4 linked regions of the Alligator mississippiensis genome follow. The protein of the gene in region 3 interacts with the protein of the main gene of each other region in a pairwise test. Links are inferred from orthologs where the notes say so. Each region holds a gene or a part of one and is shown on either strand. Other genes may lie near its edges. The genes, in order: MRPL15, NANOS2, CCNDBP1 and AMPD2.

Region 1 (7,640 bases), on a different chromosome or scaffold from region 3:
GGAGACCAATAAATGTAATACACTGCTACTTTAGCAAGGCTTTTGATACCATTTCCCACAGCATTCTTACAAGCAAACTGAGGAAATATGGGTTGCACAAATGGACTGTATTGGGGCTAGAAAGCTGGCTGGATTGTCAGGCTATCATCAATGGCTCAATGTCTAGCTCACAGCTGGTATCAAGTGGAGTGCCCCAGGGGTTGGTCCTGGGGATGGTTTGGGTTTTGTTCAGTATCTTCATTAATGATCTGGAAGGTAGGATGAATTGCAGCCTCAGCAAGTTTGAAGGTGACACCAAGCTGGGGGGGTGTATTAGATAAGCTGGAGGGTAGGGCTAGGATTCAAAGAGTGACCTAGACAAATTGGAGGATTGGGCCAAAAGAAAATCTCATGAGGTTCAACAAGGACAAATGCAAAATCCTGCACTTCGGGCAGAAAAATCCCATGCACCGCTACACCCTGGGGACTAACTGGCTAAGCAGCAGCTTTGCTGAAAAGGACCTGGGGGTTAGATTAGACAATAATACAGGTCAGCAATGTACACTGGTTACCAAGAAGGCTAACAGCATACTGGGCTGCATTAGTAGCAGAGTTGCCAGCAGATCAAGGGAAGTGCTTATTCCCCTCTATTCAGCACTGGTGAAGCCACATCTGGAGTACTATGTTCAGTTTTGGGCCCCCCACTACAGAAAGGATGTGGACAACTTGGAGACAGCCCAGCAAAGGGCAATGAAAATGATTTGGGGGCTGGAGTGCATGACTTCTGAGAAGAGGCTGAGAGAACTAGGTTTATTTATTTTGAAGGGAAGACTAAGAAGGGATCTGATAGCAGCCTTTAACTACCTGGAGGGTGGTTCCAAAGAGGATGGAGCTAGACTATTCTCAGCAGTGACAGATGACAGAACAAGGAGCAATGGTCTCAAGCTGCAACAAGGGAGGTTTAGGTTGGATATTAGGACAAACTCTCTCACTAGAAGGGTGGTGAATACTGGAACAAGTTACCCAGGGAGGATGGGAACTCTCCATCTTTGGAGGTTTTCAAGACCCTGTTAGACAAAGCTTTGACTGGGATGATCTAGTTTGGGGGGGCGGAGGGGGGCGCGGGCTCCTGTTCCGAGCAGGGGGTTGGACTAGATGACCTCCTGAGATACCTCCCAACCCTAATTTTCTGTTTCCCCCCCACCCCACAACTTTACAAGGATTCTATTTGAAGCTGAGTGGGAAAAGATCTCATCCTATTTCACTATCAAATAAGAGGCGAGAAGTTCTAAAATCTTGGTTCTCAGCCTTACTCCTAACAACATAATGGAACTATCTGACTAACTTTATTGAAGCAGGACATTTTTTCTTAAGTTACATACATGCTGTCTGAATTAAAGTCCTGGTAACAATATATGCAATCATGGATCACTAATAAAATGAATGTTCGTGCTTCCTCCTTTTTAAAACTACTGTTTACAAGGACTAGTCTCCCATACACTCCAAATACAGCCTCTGCTTATCAAAACACTGCCGAAAGGCTTGACAATACTAGTGGAGAACAGCTAATTCAGCAGCGATAGTGAGCTGAGCTGTAAGGTGCATAAGAGCCCAGCTCCTGGCAAAGCAGGGAAGGCTAAGGCAGCAGCAGGTGGCTTGAAAATGAACCCCCTTAAACAGGTGGGCCCATATGTCACAGCATGTTGCTGATCCAAGCTCTTTGAGGGCTGTACAACCCTGGTGTAGCATATGGTAGCTTGGTAGTCAGTAAAGCTGATTAATCAAGTCTCCTCCTGTTCTAATTAAAAACAGCCTAGTGTCACCTCATCATCACATCAAATGAGGTTTAACTCAAGCATCCCACGGCCATTTTTAGATCCACAGAGGTTTAACAGATGTGATCATGTGGTGTTTTAATTAGAGCAGCTTTCTGGGAACTGCTCTAATTAAACACCTGTCCCCCCACTCCTGAGCACAGCATAGGCAGGCTGCAAGTCCCTCATGTGAGTAAGTGTACTGGAACAGAGTCTGCATCAAAAGGTTGCTGATACAGATACAAGGTTTTTCACAAGTTAGACACCCTCAATACATACTGATATGGCAACAACCACATGTCACAAACTACAATTTATTCAATGTTACAGAATAAAACATTGCAGACATAAGCAAGAGCATGCATTATTCCTACACCTTAAAAGGATAAATGTAAAGGTCCCAAGCTACCATCCTTGCAACATCTGCCTGTAAGGATTTGAGCATGAGATCAAGATTAACCTCGCCGTTACAGAGGAACAACTACAGTGCATATATCACAGGTAAGAGCATGTCTACAGTGGACTGGCACAATCCTAGAAACCTGGGGTTAGATGGGACCTCAGGAAGTTACCTAGTTCAAAGCAAGACTTCCATAAGAATCCACAGTGCTAAAAGCTTGCCAACCTGTTGTAGTCTGTCAGCGCTCAGGCCGCTTTCTCTCTGTCTCAATATAGGTGCAACCAGTCTTGAAGACTGAGAATGGAAACTGCATTTGTCTTGAGGATGGGGGAGCTCCTTGCCCCAGAATCCTACAGACTGACAAGGCCGCCGTCCCCACCTCAAGGCCCCCTGCAGCACAAGGCACAGAGCGAGCTAAGGCCCGTTCCCGGCCCTGTACAGGGTCCTCTCTGGGGAGGGGCAGACAGCAGCTCGCCGGGGCGCACCGTGCACACGACCTGCTTCGATGGGGATCAAATGCTGGTCGGTTTGAGCTGGCCCCATCCACGGGGCCGCCAGGGGCAGTGACACCCCGCGGGCCCGGCTGTAGCAGGGCCTCCGGCTCCGGGAGCCCCACCACCCGCCGGCCATGCGCCAGGCGGGCAGCGCCGCCGCGGCACCCACCTTGCGCTTATTTTCTGGGTTGGGTTGCAGGTTGCCCAGGTTGACCCGGGGCAGCGTCCGCAGCAACTCCAATGCCTTGGCAGGGCCGCCCGGACCGCCCCGCGACGCGGCCGCCATTACTCCTTCGCCAAGGGTAAGCGCGCGCTTTACGGCAGGAGCCCCTCCCCCCGCTGTCGTGATTGTGCCGCGAGGGGCGGGGCCAGCAGCACCGCACTCTGGCGCATGCCCAACCGGGGTGTTGCTGAGGGAGCAGCAGGGCGTAATCACAGAGATGGCTGTAGAGAAAGCGTGGGAGGAGCTCGGTGCGGCTCTGCTCAGCTGCCCAGCGGCTGTGGTCTTCCTCAGACGGGCTGCTGAGTTTTTGGATTTTTGTGGGTGGGAACGAATTTCAGCTAAAATGGCCAGAGGATGGATGGATACATGCATGCATATGCGTGGGTGTATATAGTCTCTGAAAATCTCTGGCGCTCCCAGGCTTTGGAGAGCCTTGGGAGTGGGCAGGGCAGGGCAGTGGCAGCCCAGGAACCAGCTGGCTGCTCTGCTGGCTGCTCCAGTACCTGCCAGCTCCAGCAGACCTGGGGACCTCCACACGTGCATGGCAGGAGGCGCAATTGTAGGATCAGGGGTCAGGTTCCAATTGTGCCCTATTTTCAGCATAGGTGGATCTAGGATTTTGAAAAGGGGGGTGCAGCTGGTGTGATGCCTCATCACACAAAAAAATAACACACATCTCTCCCCTTAAAAATAACCTAGAATGTTTGCTAATACGCTAAAAGGCTAGGGCTGTATTATTCTGTTTAAGATTGAAGCAAAAACAAATATAACTTCATTGGAATTAGTTAAAAACAATCTTCAGGGCTGCAAAATAGCTTCATTACCAGTAGCAGCTAACAGACAGCAGAACTGTTAGTGCAACATCAAGATTTACAGTAAATAGACGGCGGTAAACACCTGTGAAATTAAGAGTTTAGAAGGGATGGAGTAGATTACAATTAGCCATGAAGTCAATTGACTCCGGCATCGCTGCCAATTAGCAACGCTGCTGCCAGTGCCAGGCAATTGTTTTTAAACTTTGGGTGGAGCAGGAATCAGTGGGGTGTAAGTGCACCTCCCTCCCCCTTGGTTGCCAGTGTAGCTAGGTGCCCAGTATTCATAAGGCTGGGAGCACCAGTCAGCTGAGTGACACTCCCAGCCATGGGAGTGCACCAGAGCAAAGGGCTCCAACAGGCACCTAAGGCTGGGAGCACCAATCAGCTGATCACCATGTTCAATTTAAGGTGCAGTGGGAACCAGCCACATTTATTACAGGTAGTTTGTGTAATAACTTTGTGGCTTAGTCCCTATTTTATGGTGTGGTTAACTGCTTGAAGGTGTGGCTAGATTACTATTTAAGATGTGACTAACTGGTTAATCATGTTTTAAGTGTAAGGTCTGCCAGGTACCTTAATGACTTAATTGGTCCAGGTCCAAAAGAAGGAAGTTGCCTAAGAACAGGCCCTGCTGAAGAGGGTAGAGGTGGTAGACTAAGGCAAGAAATCTGGCAGGAAAGATGGTAAATGTGGGAGAAGATGGAAACTAAAACTGGGAGTTGGGTTGGGAGGAGGCCATGGCTGTTTGAGTAGGCAAATTGTGATTGAACATGAAGGAAAGGGAGTGGAGGACTGGGCATAGCTATGTTGAGACAGAGTGAAGAATCACTGGGGGAGACTATCCATCAGGGCAAGGAAAGCAGGATTAACAGGTAGTCAAAAGGAGATCAGTTGGCAGGAAAGACAGGCCTAATGTGCAGAAAGGAAGAGGGAAGTGAGATTAGATGAGGACAGAAGCAGGGGAAGGCAGCGGTAGTGGACACAGAGAATATAGGTAGAAGATGGCTAAAAAACAAAATGGGGGGGCCGAGTGAGACAAATTGGATGAGAAATTGGAGGTAAATTAGGAATAACTGGGCAAGGTTACCATGAATGGAGGAGGAGACTAGGACTTGAAGGGCAAAGTGACTGCAGCTGGGATGATAAGCGTGTGGAAAGGATTTGGGGATTTGGATGACAAATTGGGAATAGGGAAGAGTAATGATCTTGACAAGGAAAAGTTAGAAAAAACAGGGTAAAAGGAGTCAAATCTAGGAAGAATGAACCTGAATGAAATATTTATGGCTACTAGAGTACATGAGTCCTAGAGGCCAGAATGGATCCCAAGATCTAGACCAGAGGTTCCCAAACTTTTTCATATTGCATACCACTTCTAGATTTACCAGCTGCCTGCAGATCACTACCAGTTCATGTTTTATATTTTAACCCTTTAAACGCCAATTATTGTAACACAAATTAAATTAGTCATTACACAATTTCTCCTGTGTACCCCCCAGAGATGTTGCATTGTGTACCCCCAACAGTATGTGTACGACAGTTTGGGAACCCTTGCTTTAGACTTGCCATTCTTCTACTGTCAGCAGATATTTCTGAATCCCACTGGCAGTGTTCTAACCCAGTCCATATGGTCCTACTACTTGTATCAGTTACTTGCTAGATCAAGTAGCAGAAGCCTGCACGGTAGATTTAAACTTTAAAGGGCCTTTCTAGTTGATGACTGGCGTGGGAAATTAGTATGATGCCAGAATTAAACTACCATTTTTCTCATTTTTTTTTGTTGAAACCCAGGAAATCACATGAACAAAAGCTACATAAAAAGAGCATTATTAAAGTTGCAAGTTCTAGCACTCCAAAGCTTGCAAATGGCAGAATTAGTATTGCTTGTGCACCCTTACTTGTCCTCCCTTGTACCTATGTATCACAATGCAGTCCTTAATTGTATTATCATGTTATTTTTTTTTCATGTTCCAGTCCCATTAAGTGTATAGTTGACACCTCTGCAGATGAATCAGGGTTGTATAGTGAAGAAACTACTTTGTATGTTGCAGAAGTTTGAAGGTGAGAATGAAGCATGGATACAAGTAGAAAAATGGTGCTGTCATGTTTAACACAGTTCCTATGTGAAGATAGTCAAGTTGCTTAAGGCAAACTTTTCAGTTAACTAGAGACCTTGTGGTTTAATTTGCTGAGTGTTCTCCCCTGCAACTGAAGTGAATAGGAGATGGGAACATTTTAACATTTCTTACATTTGAACTTTGAACATTTTAAATGCTACATCCTGTTTGGTTTTCTGAAAGGAAAAAAAAGACAAAATCAAAAACGGGTCTTAAGCATCTAAAAATGTAATACCCAAAATTAGTAGATACCTTTGTTCTGCAATTTCCCATCTGTAAAATGGGGATAATAATGCCCTTTAATCTTACAGGCTTGTTATGAAAATAATTAAGACTTTGTTACAGGGAATGCACCTTGAATGCCTTTATGCTCCACGAGAGAAATACAAAACTCTAAAACTCTTGGTTCAGATGTGATACCTTTTTATCAAGCCAACTAAAAATAGCAAAAAATATTCTTTCTTTCCAAGCTTTGTAGCACTTGCACCCTTCTTCAGGCTGAGGAAAAATCAAAGATTGTAAAAGTCCTTTTAGGTAGAAAATAAACTTCATTTTGAGCAGGGGCAGTTGAGGCTGGATGTATATTCCTCTGTCAGAGTCCTTTTGTGTGAGTTGCTTTTTGATATGCAAATAAGGCTGTCCTCTTCCTTGGAGGTGCTAGATGTCAGAAGCAGGCAGGGAGGCAGAGAAATCTTTCTTTGTTATTTAGCCATAAAGTTAATTTTTCCAAAAATGGCTAAATACAGTATATGCTTCACTGACATTCAGAATTATGCTAGTTTTAACTCCTAGTTGAGCTACCAGAGGCAGACAGCTCAAAGGGTAGGGATCATAGGAAAAGCAGTCTGTTTGAAATCATAAAAAAGCAGGCCTATTTAACCCCAGAAAACATGCCAACAATCTCTCCTCATAACAAAGTTAATTTATAGAAATGTAACAAGGTAGCCATTCTGGGCAAATCCTTGTTCATATCCTAAGCAACATCTACCAAGTGTAGGATACAGAGATTCAGGATATGCTTTAGTGTCCAGTACAAGAAAGTGCACAACAGGAAATGCATGATTCTGTTCTCAGAGCCTGGTGTAAAGAGTGCCCAGTAAATAATGCCAGAGGCCACTGTCTCTAGTGGGTTATGGAATAGAGAAAATCCCACACAATTTACTGATTCATTTTGATGCACTGGCTGGGGGAGTAGTTAGCTGATTGCACGATTTCACAATGATTACACACTTAATTTATACAACACAATTTTATTTTAAAATTCTTTGGTATGTATATAACACTGCTTAGCTTTAAGAAACACCACAAACATTAAGAACACAATAATTACATATATCAGAAACAATGCTCTGAATGCACTTCCTTCCCAAACAATGCTATAAGAATTAGTATTACAAAAACAACTACAATTACAACTAAAAGTTAGATTTGAATCAATACTGTTATTTTCATAATATACTTACAATCCTAGAATTCCGAGAAGCCAAATACCAAAATATGGTTTCATTCCTCAGTAGTACAATTTAATGGGTTGGCCTCAGTAGTACGGTTCAATGGGCTCGCCTCAGCAATACAATTCAATAGGCTGGCCTCAATACTGATAGGACTAAGTCCCCTTCTTTCAGTCCCTTTCGGGCGCTCTGCAGCTTCAGCGTGAACTAAGAGATTTGTGTTCACGGAGAGGGTGGTTCAGGTGATCAATCTGATCCGGCCTACACTTGCGATTCTTCCTTCATTGTTCTACAAGTATAGTCACCTCCAAATTGGGACAGTAAGTTACAGTTTTTATTGAGTGAGCTGC
Region 2 (8,012 bases), on a different chromosome or scaffold from region 3:
GTTGCTGTGAGGTCACAGGAGAGGCCTGGTGACCTTGGAGGTGACTTCCTGTGACATTCTAGGCAACTTCCAGGGTGGCCATTGGTTACTTCCTGTGATGTTGTAGGCTGCTTCCTATGAGGTCATAGGCTACCTCCTGCTAAATTGTAGGCACTTCTTGTGAGGTTGTGGGCTACTTCCTGTGAGGCAGGAAGTTACTTCCTTTGATATAGGCTACTTCCTATGAGGTCATTGGCTACTTCCTATGAGGTTGTAGGTTACTTACTATGAGGTCATAGGCTACTTCCTTTGATGTGGTGAGCTACTTACTTACTATGTGGTCATAGGTTGCTTCCTGTGAGGTCATGGGCTACGTTCTGCGGCAGGTGGTGAGGGTCTCACCCGGGTGTGGGTCCTCACGATGCCGCAGTCGATCTCCCGGGGGGGGCACGTAGGTGCTGCCTGGTGCCCGGGGGGGGAGGGGGTGCCAGCCCCCACCTGCCCCACCAGTGTTATGTCCCCATTCGCTCACCACGGTGACCACCCAGCCCCTCCTCCGCCCTCTGGAGCGGGGTTAACCCCCCTCCTGGGGGGGCCAGAGCCCCTCTCCAACATTGAGAGCAGCAGGGGGATCGAACCCCACATATCAGTGGGGGGGAGCCCCCTCCTTGTTTACAGCCCTCCCCACCCCAGTCAGAGGGACCCCCGGCGGGGCAGGGAAACTCCGGCCACTAGAGGGTCTCTTGGTCCTACTGTCGCTCCGCCCCCTGACCTCTGACCCCTTCCCCCATCATGGGACCCCCTTCTCGCCACCCAACCCCCCCCACCCATAGCATCAGCACTTACCCCCTTACCCCCACCCACGAGGGCACTTACCCCATAGCCCCCCGGACACCGTGCTCCCCCCGTGGTGAGCTGTGGATCTGTGCAATATTTTACCCCCCCACCCCGAGCACCAAGCAGGGGCATTTGCCCCTCCCCCCAGCTGGGGTCAGACAGAGTGGGGGGGGGTGTCCTCGTTAGGGGCCGAGATCAATCACTTTCCGTTCATTAATGGGGGGAGGTTTTAATGGGGGGGTGGGGGGAACCGAACAATGTGAATCTCTTTGACTGCTGTCGGGAAGCAATAGCCCCGCATCTTGCACTGACGCGAGCGGGGGGCAGGGGTGGGGGACCAAGCCCCCGCCGGGGCCTGCATATCAGTCGGGGGGGGGGTTGGGCCGGGCTGGGGGGGGGTCGTGCCAAAATCTTTGTCTGAGTCTTTTTGCCATAAAGTCAGGAGGGGCCGGGCAGCTCCCGGGGGGCTCCGGCACCAGCCCATAATACTCCACCACCAGCCCAGGCTGTTCTAATAACATCCCATAATACCTTGGTAACAGCCCATAATACTCTATCCACGGCCCACAGTACTCCAGTAACTGCCCGCGATACTGACACGCCGGCAACAGCCCAGAATACTCCACCAAGCCCCCGGTATCCTAGCAACCGCCCCGAGCACCCCGTGACCTGCCCCCACTGCCCCAGCACCGCTCGGTGTGCCACCCCGTGACCCCCAGTGTCCCATAATGCTCCAGTGCCCGCCCCTAACCCCGCCGGACTCGCCCTGCACCCCCCGCCCAGGGCCACGCACTAAGTGCGACGTGTGACCCCTGTGGACAGGCCACGCCGGGTGCTCGGGCCGGAGGGCGCCGTAAATGTCACGTGCCCGGGCCGCGGGCAAGGCCTGCTGGGAGCTGGGGCACGAGGCTGTTACTCCCCAGGGCTGGAGGCCAGGGGGGGAGGGGCCCTGCCTCAGTTTACCTGACTGGCAGCGCTCGTGGGGGCAGACGTGGGGTGAGGAGCCGCCTGGCGCCTCAATCCCCTGGGCCGGGCGCGTCCATGGCCTGAGACCAGACGGTTTTCGTTGTTCTTTTCTTTCTGGAAGTGCCAAATTCCTGTTTCTAGAGACCGGGCAGCTACTCCCGCGCGGGTCGGGGTCGGGGTCGTTAAACACTGATAAGAATTAAAAAACCTTTCAAAAAAGAAAAAAAAAAAAGGTGGGGGCAGGGGTGGGGGTGGGGGGAGACTCGGGGGTTTTTAGAGGATTTAGAGACGAAAAGAGAAAAACTGGGGCAAAAAAAGCTGAAAAAGGCCACAAAAAAAAGCAAAAAAAAAAAAAAGACATAAAAAGAGGCCGAGGCGGCTCCGCCCGGGCTCTGCTTGTCCCCCCCCCCGTCCCCCCCCCCCGTAGCAGCTTTTAAGGGAAAAACTAATGAAAATAGTAAAAATCGTAACTCTCAGTGCAGCCGAAGGGGCTGAGGCCCTGGGCAGCCGGCGCCCCACTCCCTTGGGCTGGAGGAGCAGGGGGGTCCCCTCCTCTGCCCCCCAGTGTAGCCAGCATGCGGGGGAGGGGGGGTGACAAGCCAGGAGGGGACCCGGGCGTCGGGTGGGGGGGGTTGCCCTAGCTCGCATCTGCCCCCGCAGCCTGCGCCCCTGTACATACCCCGGCAGCCACCCGTACGTGGCGCACCAGCAGCCGCCTGTATATAGCGCTGGAACCCCCCACCTCCATCCCAGTGCCGCCGTGTCCATCGCTGTCGTGGGACATGTCCCCCCCTCCATCCTCCATCGCCCCCCCGCGCCCTGTATGGACCCCCCTACCAGGGGGTTGGTTCTGGGGGGGGCCAGGACGCCTGGGCTCTACCCCCAGGGTGGGGGGTGGGGGGGCGGGGGGCAGGGGCTGGTCTGAGGCGGTGGAGGCCGGAGTCCGGACGCCTGGGTCCTGTCTCCCCGCCAGGCTGCGGGTCCCCCTCCAAATGCCCCCCACCCCCTGCCCCCCGCCCCCCCGGGGTGGGGCCCGCGTGTGCGTCGTGGTGACTCGTGTTGTGGGCGCGGGTGCTAACGATTTAACCCCTCGCTGTCCTGATAAATGTGCGCTCCCATCCGCCGCCTCTGTCGTTCTTTCTGCCCATTTCACAGCTCCTGTAACCCATCGAGGACTAACGGGCCCGGCCCCCCCCCCCGCCCCACGCCCCCTGGGCAGAGCAGGGCCAGGGAGATGGGGGCCAGGGCCAGCAGGAGGAGGGGGCCCAGCTCCAGACGGGAGTGCAGCGCAGCGCAGCGCAGCGCAGTGGGTAGAGCTGGGGGGGCGGGGTGTAGAGCAGGGAAGGGCGTGAGCCTGGACGCCTGGGCTCCCCGGCAGGAGACGGGACGTGGGGGCAGGGGCGCGGGGCGAGTGTTGGGGGCGAGCCCGGACGCCGGGGTCTCTGCCCGGGGCTGGGGCTGGGGAGCCCGGACGCCAGGGTCTTGTCCCCGGAGCCAGGAGGGGAGCAGGGTCTGGGGGTGAGAGCAGGGGCGGGGAGCCTGGATGCCCTGGTTATTGGGGGGGAACGCCCCAGCTCTGCCCTGGTCGGGGGGGGCTCAGCTGGCCCCCACGGGGGGCTCCTCTGCTCACCCCATCGCTCATCCTCATGCTCCTGCCCGAGCCCCCATCGTCTCCATCGCGCCATCCACTGTCTGTGCCCATCCCCGCCCGCCAGGCCCCGCGGCCCCCTCCCTGCTGCTGGGGGGGCTGTCATGTGACCAGGGATTGGGCCCCTGGGGTCTCTGTGGGGCAACTCCAGACTGGGGCGTGGGGGCAGGGACCAGCTCCCGCCCCCCTTTACAGGCCCTGGGGCAGAATAGGGTGACCCCCTGCCCCACATATCCCCATGGCAACCACAGGCTGCTGTGTTGCTGTGGTAACCCCAGGAAGATGGCTGCCCCCCCAAGCCAGACCCCCTGACCCCCTTTCCAGACCAGGAGTTCTAAGGGGTGCTCACATGTCGGGGGTCAAAGGTCAGCCTCATGCAGCAAGGGCTGCATACCTGCCCCCCCCTCCCCCGCATCACCCAGGGACCCCCCCAGGTCATCAGCCCCCCCCCTCGCAGCTGGCCTGGAATGCTGGTGGGCTCTATGACATCACAGATGACAGCACAAGGAGGGGGCAGGGGCAGAGAGGCCACTGGGCCAAGCCAGGAGGCAGAGGCCTGGGAGCAGGTAAGGCTGGGGGCAGAAAAGCAAGGCAGGCACCCCAGGGCAGGGTGGCTCTGCGGGTGACACCCCTCTGATCCTCCCCATGCGGGGGAACAAAAAGATCCCCCAAACTCCTTTCACTCATCAAGGGCAGACTCCTCTGACATGGAGAGGTCTCCCCATCCATGTGGTGAACCAGGCTGACCCTGCTTAGCTTGGGAAGCCGGGTGGGGCCCGAGCCTGCAGTGCAACAGGGGCAAAATGAAAGATGCTGTAGGCCCCCTGGGTGGGGGTGTGGGCCTGGCTTACCCCCCCCCCCCCCGCAGTGCCCGGGCATGGCAGACTGCAGGGGGCGCCTCCTCTCTCTGGAGCGGCGAAACCAGGCACTGGTGAGTGCCCCCTCCCCCGCCGAGGGGCCTGGGGCAACCCCCCCCCCCCCCCCCCCCGCATCAACTGGCCGCCACAAGCCTCCTTCCACCCCTGGACTGCCCCGCCACACACCATGGGGCCTCCCGCCATCACCAAGGCCTCATGGGATTTGGGGGCATCCCCTGAAGCCCACCCTCCAGAGGACCCCCCAGCACCCACCCAGCACTCACTGGGACCCCCATGGCCTGTGGGCTCCAAGCACCCTGCTGGGGGCCAATGAGGCTTCGCACAAGCCCCTTCGGGGAACCGGGGGGGGGGGAAGGACCCGAGAAGCCCAGACGCTGGGTCCATTCCCAGCTGGGGCGGGGGGGGGCGCCGTTTAGGGAAAACCCGGGAGTCCGGTCCCAGCTCAGGGAGGGCAGCGGGGTCCCGTGGTTAGAGCAGGGGGGGCTGGGAGCCCAGATGCCTGCCCTGACATTCCCTGTGCCTCAGTTTCCCCTTGAGATGGTAGCAGCCCGGGGGGGGCGGGGAGGGGGGGTTCCTGCCACCCCCCCCACTCAGTCTGCTCCCCCCCCCCCAAGATGGAGAAGGTCACGTCCCTCCGAGCTGCCAATGCCAACCTGCAGCGCATGGTGAGTGGCTCCATGGGGGGCACGTGGGGGGCAGCCCCCCCACCCCCCCTGACCCCCGTCTGCCTGCAGAACGCCCGGCTGAAGGAGGAGAACCAAGGTGAGGGGGGCAGACCCCCCACAGACCCCTGGGGGTGTCATCCCCTAATTGCCCCCTGCCCTGTCCAGGTCACCCCCGCCCCTCAGGGACCCCCACTTCCTATTGGCTCCAGACCACTTGTGATCTCACTTCCCGTGGGCTTGGGCCCCTTGCGAGGCAACTTCCTGCTGGGGTCCGAGCTGCCCGTGACCTCCCTTCCCGTGGGTTGGAGCCCACTTGTGATGCCGCCCCCTCCCTGCAGCCTTCCCCTGGGGTTGGGGCAGGGCACGGGAGGGGTGACCCCAAGGCCCAGCTGGCTCTGGGGGGCACCGGCCCCATAACGGGCGTCTCTCCCACTCAGTCTTCAGGTCAACGGAGGACGTCCTGCTCCGGTACGCGGGGCCTAGTGGGTAGAGCGGGGCAGGGCGTGTTGGGTGCCGGGGTTGAGGCCGACCTTGACCCCGATCCAGGGACAACCAGCGGATGAAGCTCGAGGTCCAGGAGCTGCGGGAGCTGCAGGAGACGCTGGTGAGAGCCCGGCCCCCCTACCCCCCCCCGGGCCTGATCCTGGCCAGTGCTGAGTGCCCCCCAAAAGCTGAAGGAGCAGGGGCACTTTGTACCCCGGCCCCTTTAAATCCACCCCAGCTGCCCCAATTTGTGAGGGGCAAAAGCAGCCCCCTCACCCCAAGCACTTAGCCTTAGCCGGGGGGGGGGGGGCCTGACCCCTGACCTTGCTCTCTGCCCCCCCCCGCAGCAAGATGACCTGTACGTGCTGGAGGAACAGCTGTGTGAGTAGCAGCCGGGGCCGGATCGGGCCTCTGATGTGGGGGGAGGGGGCAGTTGGGATGCCAGCCCCCCCCCGACTTGCGGAAGGGCAGGAAGCTGGAGGTGGGGGGTAAAGCCCCGTGCCCCAGCTGGGGGCTTGGCCTGGGGTAACCCCCCGTGCCTCCTGGGGGGGGCTGAGGTAACCCCCCTACCTCTGTGCCCCCTTCCAGGCGCCTGCAGCTGCCACGAAGGGCCCAGGTTGGATGTCTCCTTGCCCCCCCATCAAAAGCCGCCCCAACTGGGTCCCCCAAACCATCCAGGGGCATCTCCCCGGCAGCCTCCTGCCCAGGCGGGGCTGGCACTGGGGGGGGCATCTTCCTGCCCCCCTCAGGCCCCCCTTTTCTCTCCGCAGGGAGGGGAGTTCGGAGCCATCGGGGGCATGAGCGGAGCTGGGGGGGTAGCTCCCCCACCCCCCAAATAAACCCCCTGTGGGGTCTGCTCTGCCCCCCATCAATCAAAGCTGCAGGGGGCGGGGCTGGCAGGGCTGTGGCCCCACCCCGGCTCCTGGAGTGGGCCTGAACCTGGCTTCTCCTCCCTGTGGGGGGGCAGGATCAGGGCCCCTCCTGTTGCTACAGAGAGGGGCGGGGCGGGGCGGGGTGGGGGGGCTCTCCTTCAGGCCCCCATGACCTCCCCCTGCCCAGACAGGGCGTCTGGATCCAGCCTGACTCCGAGCCCCCCTGCCTCTGTCTGCAGCCTCCTTTCATGGGGGGGGGCTTTAAGTCTTCACTTGCCGGCCAGACAGAGCCCCAGAGGTGGGCGATGATTGGCAGCAGCCCCCCCGCCCCCCCCATCGGGGTCTCTGGCCCAGTCCGATCCCCCTGGGGTGACCCAGGATGGGGGGGATTCCCGTCAGGGCAGGGGGAACCCAAACTGGCTTCTCCTTGATACCCCCCCCCCGCAGCCCCCAGGTCTCGGGGCCCTGCAAAGCTGGAGCCAGTCCCCCCAGCTCGGGGCTGGGGCTGGATACAGTTGCCATCTCGTTGCCATCTCCCGTGGCGTCTGGCCCCTTGTTGCCCCAAACCTTGTGGGGGGGGGGTCAAGGGGCTCCCCCACTCCCTGCACCCCCTGCTCGTCTTGTCCGCTTCGCCCATGTTGGGGGGGCCCTGGGGGCATAAACACCCCTGGGGACACAAGGATGGCCTCGTGGGTGCAAGAGGGGTCCCAGTGGGAGTCCTGTGAGTGTGCAAGGGAGTCTCTGTGGGGGTCCCAGTGGGAGGTCTCAGTAGGGATCTCCATGGTGCTCCCATGAGTGTGCAAGGAGGTCTTAGTAGGGGTCCTAGTGGGGGTTTCAGTGGGAGTCCCATGAGTGAGCAAGGGGGTCCTGGTGGGGGGGGTCTCTGCTCATTTTCACCCCCAGCCTTTGAAGATGGAGGGTGACACTGCCCGGTGCCCCTCCTCCTCCCCCCCCCCCATTACCCCAGAGCTGGGGGCATCCACAGGGGCTTCCTGCCCCCCCCCAAACCCTGGAGCTAGATCCACCCCATGGCTTTCCTGCGGGGGGAGGGTGGGCACAGTGGGGGGGCAGCCCCCTGCTCCCTGCCCTGCACTGGCCCTTTAAACACAGACTCCACCTCTGCCCTGGGGGGCTTTAAACCCCCCGCCCCGGGGTCCCCGGGACAGAAATGCACCATGTCCTGCTCCACTCCGGATCTGGCCCCAGCCTTCGACATGTGGCGCGACTACCTGGGCCTGGCGCAGGTGGTGCAGGCGCTGGCGCAGGCCCCGGAGGCCCCCCGCGCGCCGGGCGGCGAGACCCCCGCGGCCGTGTCGGCGCCCGAGGTGATGTGCAGCTTCTGCAAGAACAACGGGGAGTCGCAGCACGTGTACATGTCGCACGCGCTGCGCACGCCCGGCGGCGCCGTGGCCTGCCCCATCCTGCGCCGCTACACGTGCCCGCTCTGCGGCGCCACGGCCGACCACGCGCACACGCTGCGCTACTGCCCCGCCGGCCCCCGCCAGCGCTCCGTCTACCGCAAGGGCGGGCGCAACGCCGCCGGGCACCACGTCCACCGCTGACCGGCCCCCGCCGGACCCCCCCGGAGCCGCGCCGCGCCGCAGCCCGTGAGTGCCTGGGCCCGCCCGGCCGCCGGACACGTCCGTGCCCGGAGCCCCCCCCGCACGGGGCGGGGGTGCAGCCG
Region 3 (7,144 bases):
CTGTGCTCCTCCGGCAGTGCTGACCTGACAACTTTGTATTTCAGCACCGCATGCGCCCTGAGATTGCCCAGCTCCTTACTCCTCACATATACCAGGAGCTGGAGAACCACCCCTCGGTCCTCACCTATGAGAACATCAAGGTACATTCACAGCTGGTGCTAACCAGTGTGTCTCAAACCTTTTACTGGTAACTGGAACCCTCTGTTTAGCTCCATCATACCTGGTTGCTTTTTGGGGTTATACTGAAGTGCCTCAGCCTCACTCATTAAATTCATCTGTTTTAAAAAATATGACAGCTGACTTGGGAATTAGGTGCTATAAGAGACAACTGTATGTGGCAGCAACAAGACAGACTATGGTGCTGCATCCAGTTCTTACGGCAACCTTCTAAGAAAGATGACAAAGACCTGAAAGATGCAGAATGATGCATAGATGATTGGAGGCTCGAAAAACACTGCTAGAACGAGGCACCCTAGGACCTTAATCTTCTTATTGGAAAACAGATCAGCAACTCGATTGTTATGTATTTACTTCATGAGGTGAACATACCGGCACTCATGGATTCCTTAATGTAGCAGAAACAAACGAGAACCAACAGGTCAATGCTGAACTGAGGCAAATTTTAAATTAGACCAGATATTTTTAGCAGTGAGGATGACTAACAGTGGAACAAAGTGGTAAGGAACAGTGTGGGAAGGCCAGTAGTGGCCAACCTTTGTGACAAGCATGCCACAAGTGCAGCCCAAAGTATGAGCCAGTGCATCCACTGTATTGCCCTTTTCCATCAAACTAGTTATGCTGGCACAAAAGCAAAGGGCTGCCAGATATCCCTTCCTCCTTCAGACAAAATACAAGACCTTAAATACTCAGGCCCTAAAGTTGGGCGAAAGGAGGAGGAACGCACCTCTAAATGAATGAGCTTATTTGGATTTCAGAACCAAAGTGCCACAGACCCTGAGATGAGACTTATGTGGACTGCAAGTACCACACAGACACGTCACTGGAAAGTGCACGTGTGCATTCCACCCAAGCTGCTGGGTGTATCTGTAAGTGATAAAGCCTGTCCATCCACCCATTCCCCTGCCCTCAAAGGAAAACTTGTCTTTAGTGTATGGAACATCTGCTTGCAAACACCCACCAGCACCCATCCCTTCTAGATAATGTGAAGAATATTGCAGGTGATGAGAGAACTTGGGTCTTCCAAATAGTGCAGCATTTCTGAGTTGTCAGTGCTGTCCTATCAGGACTCTGAGGCATGGCTTGCAACCTGAAAGTCTTTCTTTCTTGCTAGTTATGTTGTGAAAATGTCTGACAGAGGCTTTGCCTTAGGTGTGTGATGCTCTGCCGCACTGCACCACCCAACACCCTCCCCCCCGCCCCGGTGTCTGTAAACTATGCCTGAAGTCTTAGGGAGGAAACCACAGATGCAAAAGGGAAGGTTGCCATGTTGGAAGGAACTCTTCTTTTCTCTGGTGACCTTTCCCTCTCTTTTCATTTCAGGGGGTTGCATCTAACCTCTTCTTTGTGGAGCATGACTTCCCTGAAGAGGAAATCCAGGAAGGGAAAAGCCATCAGAACCCACACGAGGCCAAATTCGTGGTGGAGCTATGCAAGTACTTCCTGTGCCAGGACTACCTGCCCTCTCAGATCACCATCCTCACCACCTACACTGGGCAGCTTTTCTGTTTGCGCAGGCTCATGCCTGCCAAAACCTTTGCAGGTGTGAAAGTTCACGTGGTGGATAAGTACCAGGGTGAGGAGAACGACATTATCTTGCTTTCACTTGTGCGAAGTAACAGGGAAGAGAGAGCTGGATTCCTGCAGATTTCCAACCGGATCTGCGTGGCATTATCCAGAGCCAAGAAAGGGCTGTACTGCATTGGGAACATGGGGATGCTCGGCAAGGTCCCCCTCTGGAGCAAGATCATTCACACTCTCCGAGAGAAAGGTCGGATCGGCCGCTCGCTGATACTGTGCTGCCAGAACCACCCTGACACTCGGACCCTGGTGTCCAAAGCAGCAGACTTCTGCCAAGTTCCAGAAGGGGGTTGCAGCCGCCCCTGTGAGTTCAGGCTGAGTTGCGGACACGTCTGCACTCGGGCATGTCACCCCTATGACATCCAGCACAAGGAGTTTCAGTGTCTGAAGCCCTGCCAGAAGGTGCTCTGCAAAGATGGGCACCGTTGCCCCCATTTGTGCTCTGAACCCTGTGAAGAATGCATGGTGAAAGTGCCGAAAACTATCCCCAAATGCGGCCACCCACAGATGGTTCCTTGCTCCACCCCTGCAAGTGAGTTTTCTTGTCAAGAGCCTTGTCAGAAGTATCTGACATGTGGGCACAAATGTAACAAGCTCTGTGGGCAGGAATGCACTGCGCAGTGTCCTGAGCTGGTGATGGTCACATTAAAATGTGGCCACGACCAGCAGGTGAAATGCTGGATCACGGAAGAGATGGAAAATGGGATGCCTGTGAAGTGTAAAACGAAATGTGTGACCACGCTGGACTGTGGCCATGTCTGCCCGGGCTCCTGCAACACCTGCTATGAAGGGCGATTTCACGAGCAGTGCAAGAACCCCTGCAAGCGCTTCCTCGTTTGCTCCCACAAGTGTCAGCAACCTTGCACTGGGGAGTGCCCTCCCTGCCAGCAAGCATGTCAGAACCACTGCGTCCACAGTCAGTGTAAAAAGAAATGTGGGGAGATGTGTATCCCATGCATGGAGCCATGCGAGTGGCGGTGCCAGCACTACCAGTGCACGCAGCTTTGCTCAGAGCCATGCAACAGGCCCCGCTGTGATGTACGGTGCAGTAAGAAGCTGCGCTGTGGTCATCCCTGCATCGGGCTGTGCGGGGAACCCTGCCCCAAAAAGTGCCTTGTGTGTGACCACGATGAAGTCACTCAGATATTTTTTGGCTTTGAGGAGGATCCGGAAGCCTGCTTTGTGCAGCTGGAAGACTGCGGCCACATCTTTGAGTCCCAAGGTCTCGACTATTACATGGACGAAGACGAAAGTGCCGTCAAGCTGAAGGTGTGTCCCATCTGCCAGACGCCAATTAGAAAGAACTTGAGATACGGCACCATTGTGAAAAAGCGGCTGGAGGAGATCGAGAAGGTGAAGGAGAAAATCCAAGGCCCAGCGCGTGAAATTGAAACGAGCAGGCACAGGCTGCAGGCCACGCTGGAAGGGAAGGCCGTTCTGCGGAGGGTGCTGCCTACCAAGTACGACCGGCTGGAGGACAGGCTGAAGCAGCCCAACCTCTCCACGAAGAGCGTCGGGCTCCTGGAGAACCTGATCAACTTCTACGAGCGCGTGGCGGACCTGACCGGGTCCCTGAGCAAGCTGGACCCGAGCGAGCGGGAGGTGCTGAGGAAGCGGCTGGCGGAGGTGCAGGAGTGGCTCAGCAAGCAGCGGCTCAGCTTCAGCAGCCAGGAGCTGTCGGACCTGCAGAGCGAGATGCAGCGGGTGACGTACCTGGCCAACCTCCTGACCCGCTGCAGCGCCGCCGGCACGCGGCTCAGCGCCGCGCTGGCCCAGGACGTCGCCGCCCTGCGCACGCTGCTGCAGCGCACCGGGAGGTTCACGGCGGAGGACGAGGCGGCGGTGCGGGTGAAGATGGAGGAGCTGAAGGCCGCGCTGCCCACGTCGGGGCTGGGCATCTCGGAGGAGGAGCGGGTGCAGATCGTCAGCGCCATCGGCTGCCCGCGCGGCCACTGGTTCAAGTGCAGGAACGGGCACGTGTACGTGATCGGGGAGTGCGGCGGGGCCATGGAGCAGGGCGTCTGCCCCGAGTGCCAGGCCGTCATCGGCGGCCACAACCACGCGCTGGACGACTCCAACCGCCTGGCGCCCGAGATGGACGGCGCCGCGCACGCCGCCTGGTCCGACACGGCCAACAACCTGCTCAACTTCGAGGAGCTCGGCCGCCTGCTCTAGGCCGCGCCCGCGCCCGCGCCACGGCCCGCCGCACTTTACCGCCCCGCCCCCGCCCCGCCCCGCCCCGCCCGCGCTGTCCGCGTTTTCACCGCAATAAATTTTATCCAGTCACTCAAGGTGCCTGCTCCGCCCCGGGGGGGCGGGGGTCCTGCCATCACCCGAGCAGCGCCGGAAGTGGGCGCGGGGCAGGGCGGAAGCAGCCCCTACGCGGCGTCTTCCGCCCGGCTGCCGGGCCCTCCCCCAGGTTCGGGCAGTGGGGCCAGTCAGGGCAGCGGCTTCAGCGCTGTCTGCGCGTGCGCGGCGGCGGGGAGTGCGTGTGCGCACTAGGGGGACAGCGCTCGATGGAGCCGGAGCTGGAGCCGCTGCAGCGCCTCGGCGGGGCCCTGCGCGCGGTGCTGGCGCGTGTCCGCGGTGAGCGGCGGGGCGGGGCGGGGCGGGGTCTCGGCCGGGGGTCCCGGTCCCGGTCCCGGTCCCGCGCTGAGCCGCTGCCGCCCGTGTCGTTGCAGAGGGGGAGCCGCCCGCCCGCCGCGCCTGCCCCGCCTTCCAGCCGCCGCGCTTCTGGGCCGCGCTCGGTACCGGGAGGGTGCGGGCGGGGGCGGGCAGCGCGGGGGGGGGGGGTGGGGCGGGGGCGGGGCGGTGTGTGACCGCGCGTCTCCCGGCCGGGGGGCTGCGCAGCCCGGAGCTTCCAGGCGACGTCGCGGGAGGCCACGAAGCTGAGCCTGGCCTTCTCGGGGCCGCTGCCGCCGCGCGCCCAGGTGGGTGCTCCGCGGCCGCCCCCCGCCCCGCCCCGCCCCAACCCTAGGCTCCCCGCCACCCCGCGCCCCCTTCACCCTCGCCTCGCCTCGCCTCGCCCCCCCGCAGGACCGCGAGAAGCTGTGCGACGGTGTGCGGGATGCCGTGCTGGCGGCCGCCGCGGCCTACCACGGGCTGCCCAAGGACCGAGGTGAGGCGGCCGCACCCCTGCCCCCAGGAGGAGCCGGGAGGGAGGGTGCTGGCGGGGGCAGAAGGGGCCGTGCAGAGCGGCCCCCGCGTCCCGGCCATCAGCCTCTTCCTTCTAAACCTCTCCCAGGGACCACGCTCCGGAAGATGGTGCGCGACGCCACCGCCGAGGTGGTGGAGGGCACGATCCAGCTCACAGACGTGATCCTGAGCAGCGCTCTGCAGAGGTAACGCTGGCCCTGCCCCGCCCCAGCTCGACCGGCCTCGCGGCGGGTCGCGGCCACGGGAGAGCAGCGGCTTCGTGCGTGCATGCGTGCGGTCCGGGCGCCCCCAGGGCCGGCTGGGAGCCTGGGGCTGGGCGTCGTGGGGCGGGGGCGGGGGTCTGCGTGGCTTGGTCAGGCTCGCAGCTTGAGGCGGCTGCCGGGTGCTGCTCAGTCCTCTCAGCGGCGATGGGCCCAGGGCCTCGAGGGATTTTCTTTCTCCGCTTCAGTTTGTCTCGGGAGCAGCTCGTATCGACTGGCGGCGTGTGGGAGGCGTGCGAGCAGGTGTCCAGCCTGCCGCGAGGTAGGTGGCGTCGCTGCAGGTAGCGAGAGCTCTGCTCGCAGCAGCACTGGCCCTGGTAGCCCTGAGACGGAGCGGAGCCGGTGGCTCCTCGGAGGCCAGCCCCTGCCGCACGAGCCGAGTCGCCTGATGCGGGGACGCCGCAGCTCTGAGCGACTGCAGGGAGGCGGGGGAGCGTGGTGCGAGCCGGGGAGGCGGCGGGGTCTGCACAGCCCCCGGCCCACTCACCTCCCTCTGGCCTCTGCGTGCAGATAACCAGGCAGCCGTCCTGTCAGTTGTGGCCACGTATCTGGAAGTGGTCAAGGATGCCCTGAAGGAGATGGAGCAGGTAAGAGGCCCTTACTTCCCTCTACAGACAGCTGTCAGCTCTGGGCTTTGCAGTAGTGCTGCTGTGACAGCAGGCAATGAGTTTGCCCCGGACAGCGGTCCAGTTGGTTTCTGTGTTTTGGTTTCGACTCAGACCGAGATGTTCAGCCCCACACGGCGGGGGCGCCTGTGAAGTGTTCAGTTTCTAGCTCGATATGGGGCTGCTGCAACTCGCGTCCCTGGCTTCTCCCTGAGGGGCTGTTTGCTGGTGGGGAGAGGGGTGTTCCGGCAGGCTCTTGTTTTAGGCGTGTTGGCTGTAGCCCTGATGGTTTAAGGACATAGCTGGACATGGTTCTTTGGGTGAATGCAATATGTTTTATTAAATTAAGTAATTAAATAGTTGGCCTAATAAAAGACATCAGATTTCCCAGCAAGCTCTTGGCATTCGGTAGCCTTGAGGGGAGGGTCTAACTTCTATATCAGTCTCCTACAGAGAAGCCTTCTCAGCAATGGCCTTGGACACCTGGGAGCTGGGGGATCCTGAGGGAAGCTTGGGTGTGCTGGGGATTGCTCGTCATGCCTGGGGCAGATGGTGGGTTCCAGAATCCCGACGTGCTTGTGTCCTCAGGCTCAGGTTGAAGGAGGTGACCCCTACGGGGACATCATGGAGGATGAGGAGCTGGGTTCTCGAGGCAATCGGGATACCTACTGGTCCGAGGCAGACCGGAAGCTGCTCAGCCCCTGCATGGGGCTGATGAAGGCCTCCAAAGCCTGCCTGAAGAAGGTCTTGGGTGCAGTGAAGGCTCACGGCAAAGCAGACACACCGGAACATGTCGCGCAGCTGGATGACCTTGCAGACATTGCCAACGAGATCAGCCCCTGGTGAATCCTCCCTTCCCTTTCATTGTGGCTTGCTGGGTGCTGTGCTAGAAGCAGCATCTTCGCAAGGGTTGCATTGCCTTCTGAGCTGGTGGTGGGAGTAGGGGCATTTGACCCTGGACCTCTGAGATGGGCTACAGGTGTCATCCTAGCTGGGCAGGAGAGAGCTCCAAGGAAGTAGCCTGGGGAACAGGAGTGATGCCCTGGCTGCAAGGCAAGGGAGAGTGTGTTCAGGCAGAACCCATGCTGAACCTGGCAGCACCAGTTTGCTCTCAGAGGCGATTCAGTAGGTGGCTGGTGTCACCTTGGGCTGTGTGCTTGCTGGCACTGCCAGGGGGTCCCCCTCCTGTAGTGACTGCTCTTTCTGTTCTGCCGTAGTGTGGACGAGCTGGCACTGAGCATGTATCCACCCATGAACCAGCTGGCTGTGCGCCTCAATGTAAGTCCTGCTGTTCTTCAGCCTTCCTGTATAGAGGCCCTGGCCTGGCTCCCGTGGAGAGCAGAGCGTGTCCACGGGGGAGCCAGC
Region 4 (7,588 bases), on a different chromosome or scaffold from region 3:
TCTGACTGGTGGGCAATGGCACAAGTCCCAAGTCCCCCTGGGTGTGTGTACCTTACCTGGCTCATACCCACCCACCAGGAAGCACCAGCAGGCAGGTGGTAGGAGGAGAGGGACAGGAGAGATTTCAGAGGCTCTTCCAACAGCTTGTAGGGGATCTGGGTGGGCCCCTCCCCTGGTTGATGATTGAGCAGAAAGGCCGGGACTTGATCAAAGTCCCAGGCTGCTGGGCCAAGGGGCAATGAACGGTTGCTGCGAGGCAGGCAGGGGCAGGAAATGGAACTTGGAAGAAGACCCCAGGAGCAGGGTGGAGAAGTGGGCAGCTCCTAGGTCCTAAAGGGCCCAGAGACGCCCATAGTTAAGAAAAACCATAAATATGATTCTAGGCCACGTCACCTGCTTAGCTTAGCAACAACAAACCTGGGTGTCCGAAGAGCAGCCTGAGAAAGACACGCATCCAAGGCTGGTGACAGCATCAGGCTGGAGTGCATGGGGATGAGTCACACAAGTCATCCCTGCAGGCACGTGCCCAGGTGAATCTCAAGTGCACACCCCAAGATCCTGCAGGCCAGACTTAAGTATGCTTCTTCCCACCCTCATGGTTCCTGGTCGATGATCACCCAAAGGCAAAGGGGCTCCTCTTCACTATAGTGCAATCACCCCAAAAACCCTCAGCTCTCTCCCTGCAGGAGGCCTGTTCCCAGCCCCGGGAGTCCTTGAGGCAAGTGTGTCCCTGGCAGCAGGAGCTTCCTCACAGGCCGTGCCAACTGGACCATGACATCCTTGAACCAGATTCCACATGGGAAGATTTCCTCATCTCCTCTCCCCTCCCCTCACACCCAGGCAATCCTGGAAACCTTTCTCTACTGGAATCTGGTCTGTCCCTTCCTCTTTCCTCCTCCTCACCTGCTCCACCACTAGGTGAGGAAATGTCCCCGTCACATGCAGCCACATGGATTCTATAACCTGCGCCCTGACAGACCCGGGACTGGCTGGGCGGGTTAAGCTGCCAGGTATTTCAGGAATTATAATGGCAGGCAAGAAAAGACAGGTATCGATCCACGTACAGACTTACACACACTCCTATCCACATAGGGATGGGGCATGCAAAGCACCCACATGACTATGCAGCACCCAAGAATTAGCAGCTGGACACGCACGCAACAGCATGATACACACTTGTTAGCATCTAGGTGTCCATCCTGCGTAGCCACATAACTCCACCATGTACATACAGTAGCATCTGTGTTCATCCTGCATCCCCACGCGCTACACCACGCTTCTGTTAGCATCTGCCTTGCACAGCTCCCATCTACACACTCACACATGAGCCCCAGTGGGGCTCCCAGGGCCCAGTGGGAATAGTAATAAATGAGTTACTCCAAAAATAACAATATGTCTGGAACACCGTCATCCAGAGTGCACAACACACCCCTCCACCACCACCCACACATGTCAATTAGCCAAGTGCATGGTGGGAATTTCTTCCTCCTGTGCCTGGCTCTGAAGCATCAGGTACCAGCTGCTGAGGCACTCAGATACCATAGCGATGGGTCTGGAGGAACCGAGGCTGAAAGAGGGCAGCGGACTGGAGCGCTGGTCTGATGCATTACACAGTGGGATACTGTCAAACCTAGAACAGCAGTTCCCCATGCTCTCTTACACACAGCACCCACACAGAGATACAGGCTTGCAAAAAAACACCCACCCAGGCACCCACATGCACCGATATGTAGGCAGTGCATCTCCAGAAGGGTCACAGGCCCTCCTCGACACTTACATTTCCCCAGGGCTCATGCTTTGATACCTTATATTTCATCTCCTGCCATGAGATACAGGCAGCCCAGTGGATGTCACTGGTATGCTATGGCCTGAGAATAGGACCCTAGGGTCACCAACAAGATGTTGCTCAGGTCCCTTGGTGTCTCTTGGATGTGTGTGGGAAGTGCATTTGAGGCTAGCATCCCCCTGGCTGAGCTCCTCTGCAGCACACAGGCTGTGGGTCTGCAGTACAGTGGGGAGAGGACGCCAGGCGACTTTCAAAGGAGGTGGCCAGGGGGACAGCCCTAAATTTTGATGCAGTTCACACACTCCAAGATCCATCTCTGCCCACCACCAACCAGCAATGGTCACAGAAGTGCAGCAATAATCTCAACACACGTGACAGAGGCAGGTAAGTACATTCCTCTCTGCTTTACAAAAGGGGAAACTGAGGCACCAAATAACAAAGCAACTCACCTGAAGAAAATAGGCAGCAAAGTCAGGAATAGAGCCCAGGTATCCTGACTCCCGGGTCCCCGTCCTCCCCACTGAATCGCGCTCTTTCCCAGAGCCAGGCAGAGAATCCAGCTATCCAGCATCCGCGGTCCTGCTCTAATCAATCGCTACCTGACCCTGCACGAAACGCCACGTGCGTATCACTCGCACACACAGCTGCACACCTGTCCGGAGTCCTCACACCCACGTCCTTCTGCAAGAAAGGCGAGGCACAAATCCCCTTCCTCCCCGAGTCCACCCCGGCCTGTGCCACAGAAAAACCTAGTCCCAGCCTGCTGCTTCCTTACCCTCCGCTCAGCACGCCCCTAGAAAGAGGCGCACCGCGGCCACCAGCATCCCACCCCGCTCCAGGCGGGCAGATATCGTAGGGGGATGATGCTCAGGATGCCACTAGAGCCGTATAAGTCCACTACCGTCCCCAGAGGATGGGCAATGGAGGGGTCCGGCCCTTCGCACGGAACAAAGGCTGTGATGTCCCCCCGCCGTCCAGCGGCAGGCGGGCACGCAGGAGCCGGGGGGCCTGGCCTGCGCTCGCTCACCTGCCATGGCGGGGGCCTGCAGGCTGGCCCTCTTCTTGAAGGGGTACTTGTTTCGGGGAACCCCGGCGGCGGATGACATCTTGCTTCCGTCTGCCCGGGCTGAGAGCTGTGACTCAGAGCTGCGGAGCCGGCGGGCGCGCCGGGCTGGGGACTCTTACTGCGGCGGGGACGCGGGAGGCAGGCCGCGCTCGTCCAATAGCCGGGCCGGGCCCCGCCCCTGGGCGATGATTGATGCAGGAAGCCCGGGGCTGGACCAAAGTCCCAGCCGGCGGGGCGCAGAGCTGCCCCCCGGGTGTTTCCTAGGCGACCGCCCCCAAACCCCGAGCATCCCCGGGTGACAAGCCGGCCCCGCTGGGGGGACCCGCACACACAGGAGCCGCAGGGCTGGCCAGAAACCCCGGGCTCGTTTCCACTAGGCTGCCACGTCCCGGCCGACCGCAGCTATTTCCCCTGTCGGATCCGGCCAGCGCCCTGGCTGCCAAGGGGGGCAAGAAGCCCTGGCATGTTGTTGGGGGGGTGGGTGGGGTGTGTGTGTGGACGCGATGCGCTGCCTACCTGCAGCCATGGCCGTCGGGGCGCGGGGCTGTCGCGGGCTGGGCTCGAACCCGGAGCCGAGGGGCGGTGCCGCGCCCGGCTCTTCCCGCCTGCGCCGCTCTTCCCTCCCGCCCCCCGCGCGCCGGGGCTGCAGGGCCGGGGGCGGCCGGCAGGGGCCGCGGGAGCGCACGGGAGGGGTGCGCGCTGCCCCTCCTGGGTGGGCCTGCGTGGTCCTGCCAGCCTGGGGCCAGCCTCCTCCATCCTTCGCTTGGTTCATCGCCAAACCGTGGGTTGGACACTAGGGTGTCAAGGGGACGAGGGCGCTGGCAGCGTCCCACCGCTGCGCGGGTTATTAAAATACGCTTGAGGACTCCAGATATTGCCGACAACCGTGAGGAAGCTCAGAGAAGAGGGAGAGGATCGGGGGAGATGCAAAGAGCCTGCTCTGCCTGACTAGGCCAAGCAGTCGCCTTAACTCTGCCCCGTTGGCCTGGGGCATGAAAACAACTTCCAGGAGCCCCCGATGGCTGGTCCAGGCTGGCAGCGTCTCCAAGCAAAGCCAGTCCCAAGGCTAGGACAGCTGCTAGCCTGGCCGCGGGTCCCAGCATCGCAGCACCATGTACGGAGGAGTTCGTGGGAGATGCCGGGGTGCTGGTTCAAGGAGCACAGAGCGGCCCGCGGCACAAGCCGCTGTGATTCGCTAGCACCACGGAGGAGGAGGCTGGGAGGCTTCTTGCTGCTGGGCCCTTTATGACGGGGTTTGAGCAGCATAATTCATTCGGGAGTGGAAATGGGGGTCCGGTGAGGCTCCGTCCTGAGTGAGCAATGGCACTAACCATTCAAGAGCTGTTTACACGCACTCAGGTGGCGATGGCTGACTTCTCCCTCCTGGAACAGGCCTGTTAAACGAGGGCTTGCACAAAGCTAAGGGTGGGTGGAGATCCCAGGCTCGGCAATGCTGAGAACAGAGCAAGGCCCTCCTAAACCCCTTTGCCACTCCAGCTGCGTTTAAGATGAACCCTGCCAAACTATGTGAGCAACAAATCAAGCAGGTATACAGCGCGTTTCATCTGCTCGCCACACAGCAACAATGAGGGATAAGTAGTCCTTACTGAGGATGGATAAACCGAGGCACAGAAAAATGGACTGTCTTGCCCAAGTCAAGCACAGCTGAAAACAAAAACCTGGCCCACTGCCACCCACAGGCATTCTCCAGCCCAGGAGATGTTTCATTTATGACAGGTGACAAATGGAAAAGCCATCTGTGACCCATTAAGAATATCAGCCCGTCTGGGCCAGAATACCCAGGCATGAAACAAGGTCCTAATTGTTCTTCCCCTGTAGCCAGCGCTGCCCACCTGGCCGAATCTCAGTCTGATGTGAGGGCCTTCACTACAAATATTTTCACTTGCCTACAGGATTTCCCCTCTTCTCCTCCCAGAGAGCTGAGCAGTGTTATTCTGTTACTGTTAAACAGCAGATGTACCACCTAAGAGGTGGCTGCATGGATGAAAATGGCTAGCTAGTTAGCTAAGGCTGGCTGTACCAAATCCAACACTGGTGCCTGAGTCCCTAGAACTCATACAGATGCTCTTCATATAGCTACTAGTTAGTAAATAGCTACCCACTAACTAGTATAGTTAGTAAATAGCTACTAACTGCCATGTCTGAAACCCTCCCCTGGAAAGCAGTAGAGGAGGGCAAGCAGTAGTAGCGATCTTCATTACTATGTATTAACAAAGAAAAAGCTGTACAAAATGCATTTGCTTTGTTAATGCATATGAATGAAGATCGCTAATACTGAATGTAAAACAACAGTCCCCAGCACCCAGAAGAGGGAGAGACAGTGCTTGGAAAAGGTTTGAGGGCAATTAAAATGTAGGGCATTAACAAGAGTCTGTTATGGAGACAGAAAAAAGAGCTCCCCAGGCAGAGGCCCACAGTGAGGGAGCTGTTTGCAAAAGGGAAAGGGTCTTACCCGGCAGTGTCAGTACACGCTGGTCTCTGCGTTGTCATTCAGGCTTCCCCCTGCCCCACACACGCTTCAGCTCGGTGCGCAGTTCTTAATCATATGACAGCTCATATCAGAGCTGTCTCAGGTGTCACAGCAAACGGGCCAGATCCTGATCTCAGTTCTGTTGCTGGAAACCCCATGCAACTGCTTTGCACCCATGCAGCTAGGAACAATACCAGCCTCCTGCACCAGAAACAGCACCCACCACACTGAAAGACCCCACTCAAGGATATCTACTATGGTTGCTCTGTTTGGACCTGCCACCCACTTCTCCACGGAGGACTGAGAGGCAGCCTGCTGCTTGCTCACCTTGCCACAGGGGTAACGGGTCTTGTTCAAGAGCTGAGCTCCAGCCTGGAGCTGAGTAACTCAAGCTACATGCACCCATGAAGAATCAGAAGAAGATGCATCATGGCTGTTGCCCATGTCCCATGCTCTCACTTGGTGCCTCCATGTCCACTCCCAACCCCTTCTGTCCTCACACCCATATATCTTTCATGCTTCTCAGTCCCCACTTGGCCCATCCAGCCTCCCTTCTCAGGGTTTTGTAACAGGGATAGGAAATATCTCACTGAAGTACAGCTTTTATGACCCCTCATTCTGGGAAAAGGGCCTGAATGACAACACGGGGCTGCATGGTCTGTACAAATGCTGGCCCCTTTCAGCAGGGATGCTCACTAGCAGGATGGGGCATACAGCTTGAGGCCTGGCTCTGACTGCCAGCAGGGAGCACTGGTGGCAGCGGCTGCTATGATGAGGCAGACTCTTGCCCACTGAGAAATGACATCCATCATCGGAGTGAATGCCTTGCAGTCACAACTGCCCCAGGCTGGATTACAACTGGCGTCCGCACAGGGCATCCACATCCCACAGAGATATTCCATCCCTGGAGATGTTCGTCCTCCCCAGCAGCTCCTCCTTTCTCTCCCTTCCTGCCACAGCCCCTCCTGGTCATTCCACCTCCAAACACGTCCCACTCAGCTCCCTCCACCTGTCTCCTGTCCCTCTGGTACTTAACTGTGGCTTCATGATGTGCCCAAGAGAGGCAAAGGGCCTGCAATGCCAGGGTAGATTTCAGTGCAAGGATTAGGACTCTTTCCCAGTGATTGCTCTGCAAAGTCACCCTAATCCAGGGCTAAAGAAGGGCATATTTTTAGAAAGCCTCTGAGCACAGGAAATTCCATGCCCACTCAGCCTGGAGCTCCTTCTTAACATGCACCAGAGCACCTCAAGGGGAGCCCCAAGGGAAAGGTATATTAAAGACAGTTTTTGGGGGGTGCCTGTACTATCCTGGGGCTATAACAAAACCGTGTGCAGCTACTGGCTCTGGCCTGCGTGCACATGGCACTCACATCAGAAAGAGGCAGGGTGTTAGGATCTCCAGTTGGGAACAGATCTCCGGGTAGGGAGGAGGAGGAGAATGCTGCTCCATGCCCCCTCCCTCATGGAGGGGAAGGTCACGGTCGGTCGGATGTTGTCCTGATTGAGAGGCAGGAACCCTGCTGTTTCAGAGGAGGCTGGCAGTCACACGTCAAATCATGGGCTATGCATTCTGCCCCTCCGTGGGCAGGGGCTCGGACACTGGTGGCTTTGCAGGTCGGGAATGGTGGGTAGAGGTCAAGGGGTTCCTTGATGTGGAAGTAAATCTGGTCTCCAGCTACTGGGCCAAGGGGAAAGAGGAGTTAATGACTCTCTTCCCAGGCAGGATCTACGTGTCCATCACTAGATGTACAACCACTTCCCCAGGCAGACCTCCACAAAGACAAGTTAGGAGAAGTCCACAGTCCAACTGCCAGCCCATGACACCGCACCTAACCCTAAACCCGAGCCCACCTTTGTCAAAGGCATCTCTGGGACTCATCCCAGGCTTCATTCATCCAGTTCAGAACCAGCCCCTGCGCATCCTAACTGTAATCCTTAGAGCATGCCCAGTCCCCATAGAGAAGTAGTTCTCTGTGTTAGTCTGAAGCTCAGGAGGAGGCCTGGCAGGGTGGCACCTTATAGACTAACTCATTCAGAGAGGCATGAGCTTTCGTAGGCCACAGCCCACTTCCTCAGATGTTGCAAATGGCAAAGTTTGGAAGAGATCTGCTATACCAGATGGGGCTGCAGCTTTGGAGGGAGGAGGCACTTTCTCTTGAGGACCTGTGAAAAAGGCACAGGTGTGTGAGGAGGCTACCACACATTCACCACCAAGCTGTCCGCAGTGCGGCTCAGGAACCAGAGG

The links.
Region 1: the proteins of CCNDBP1 (region 3) and MRPL15 interact in binary tests that used the Homo sapiens proteins (3 or more experiments, as listed by UniProt). The two-hybrid records come from large-scale screens. The link is inferred for Alligator mississippiensis from reciprocal best matches to the Homo sapiens genes CCNDBP1 and MRPL15.
Region 2: the proteins of CCNDBP1 (region 3) and NANOS2 interact in binary tests that used the Homo sapiens proteins (3 or more experiments, as listed by UniProt). The two-hybrid records come from large-scale screens. The link is inferred for Alligator mississippiensis from reciprocal best matches to the Homo sapiens genes CCNDBP1 and NANOS2.
Region 4: the proteins of CCNDBP1 (region 3) and AMPD2 interact in binary tests that used the Homo sapiens proteins (3 or more experiments, as listed by UniProt). The two-hybrid records come from large-scale screens. The link is inferred for Alligator mississippiensis from reciprocal best matches to the Homo sapiens genes CCNDBP1 and AMPD2.

What each region holds. Positions count from the first base shown.
Region 1 is NC_081826.1:73,127,097-73,134,736, forward strand, and holds the start of MRPL15 (large ribosomal subunit protein uL15m), read right to left. Parts: upstream 3,010-7,640; 5' UTR 2,974-3,009; coding exon 2,857-2,973; intron 1-2,856.
Region 2 is NC_081838.1:484,423-492,434, forward strand, and holds the start of NANOS2 (nanos homolog 2), read left to right. Parts: upstream 1-5,070; intron 5,071-5,111; exon of another isoform or gene 5,112-5,410; coding exon of another isoform or gene 5,411-5,441; 5' UTR 5,442-5,519; coding exon of another isoform or gene 5,520-5,577; intron 5,578-5,803; coding exon of another isoform or gene 5,804-5,837; intron 5,838-6,044; coding exon of another isoform or gene 6,045-6,393; 5' UTR 6,394-7,356; coding exon 7,357-7,890; 3' UTR 7,891-8,012. UniProt on the Homo sapiens protein: Plays a key role in the sexual differentiation of germ cells by promoting the male fate but suppressing the female fate. Represses the female fate pathways by suppressing meiosis, which in turn results in the promotion of the male fate.
Region 3 is NC_081832.1:303,243-310,386, reverse strand, and holds the start of CCNDBP1 (cyclin-D1-binding protein 1), read left to right. Parts: upstream 1-4,129; 5' UTR 4,130-4,274; coding exon 4,275-4,344; intron 4,345-4,439; coding exon 4,440-4,505; intron 4,506-4,608; coding exon 4,609-4,688; intron 4,689-4,794; coding exon 4,795-4,876; intron 4,877-5,002; coding exon 5,003-5,099; intron 5,100-5,362; coding exon 5,363-5,436; intron 5,437-5,684; coding exon 5,685-5,761; intron 5,762-6,367; coding exon 6,368-6,621; intron 6,622-6,996; coding exon 6,997-7,057; intron 7,058-7,144. Other genes in the region: ZNFX1 (NFX1-type zinc finger-containing protein 1), read left to right, coding at 45-140, 1,501-3,933. UniProt on the Homo sapiens protein: May negatively regulate cell cycle progression. May act at least in part via inhibition of the cyclin-D1/CDK4 complex, thereby preventing phosphorylation of RB1 and blocking E2F-dependent transcription.
Region 4 is NC_081837.1:34,357,183-34,364,770, reverse strand, and holds the start of AMPD2 (AMP deaminase 2), read right to left. Parts: upstream 3,007-7,588; 5' UTR 2,893-3,006; coding exon 2,814-2,892; intron 2,419-2,813; exon of another isoform or gene 2,236-2,418; intron 147-2,235; exon of another isoform or gene 57-146; intron 1-56. UniProt on the Homo sapiens protein: AMP deaminase plays a critical role in energy metabolism. Catalyzes the deamination of AMP to IMP and plays an important role in the purine nucleotide cycle.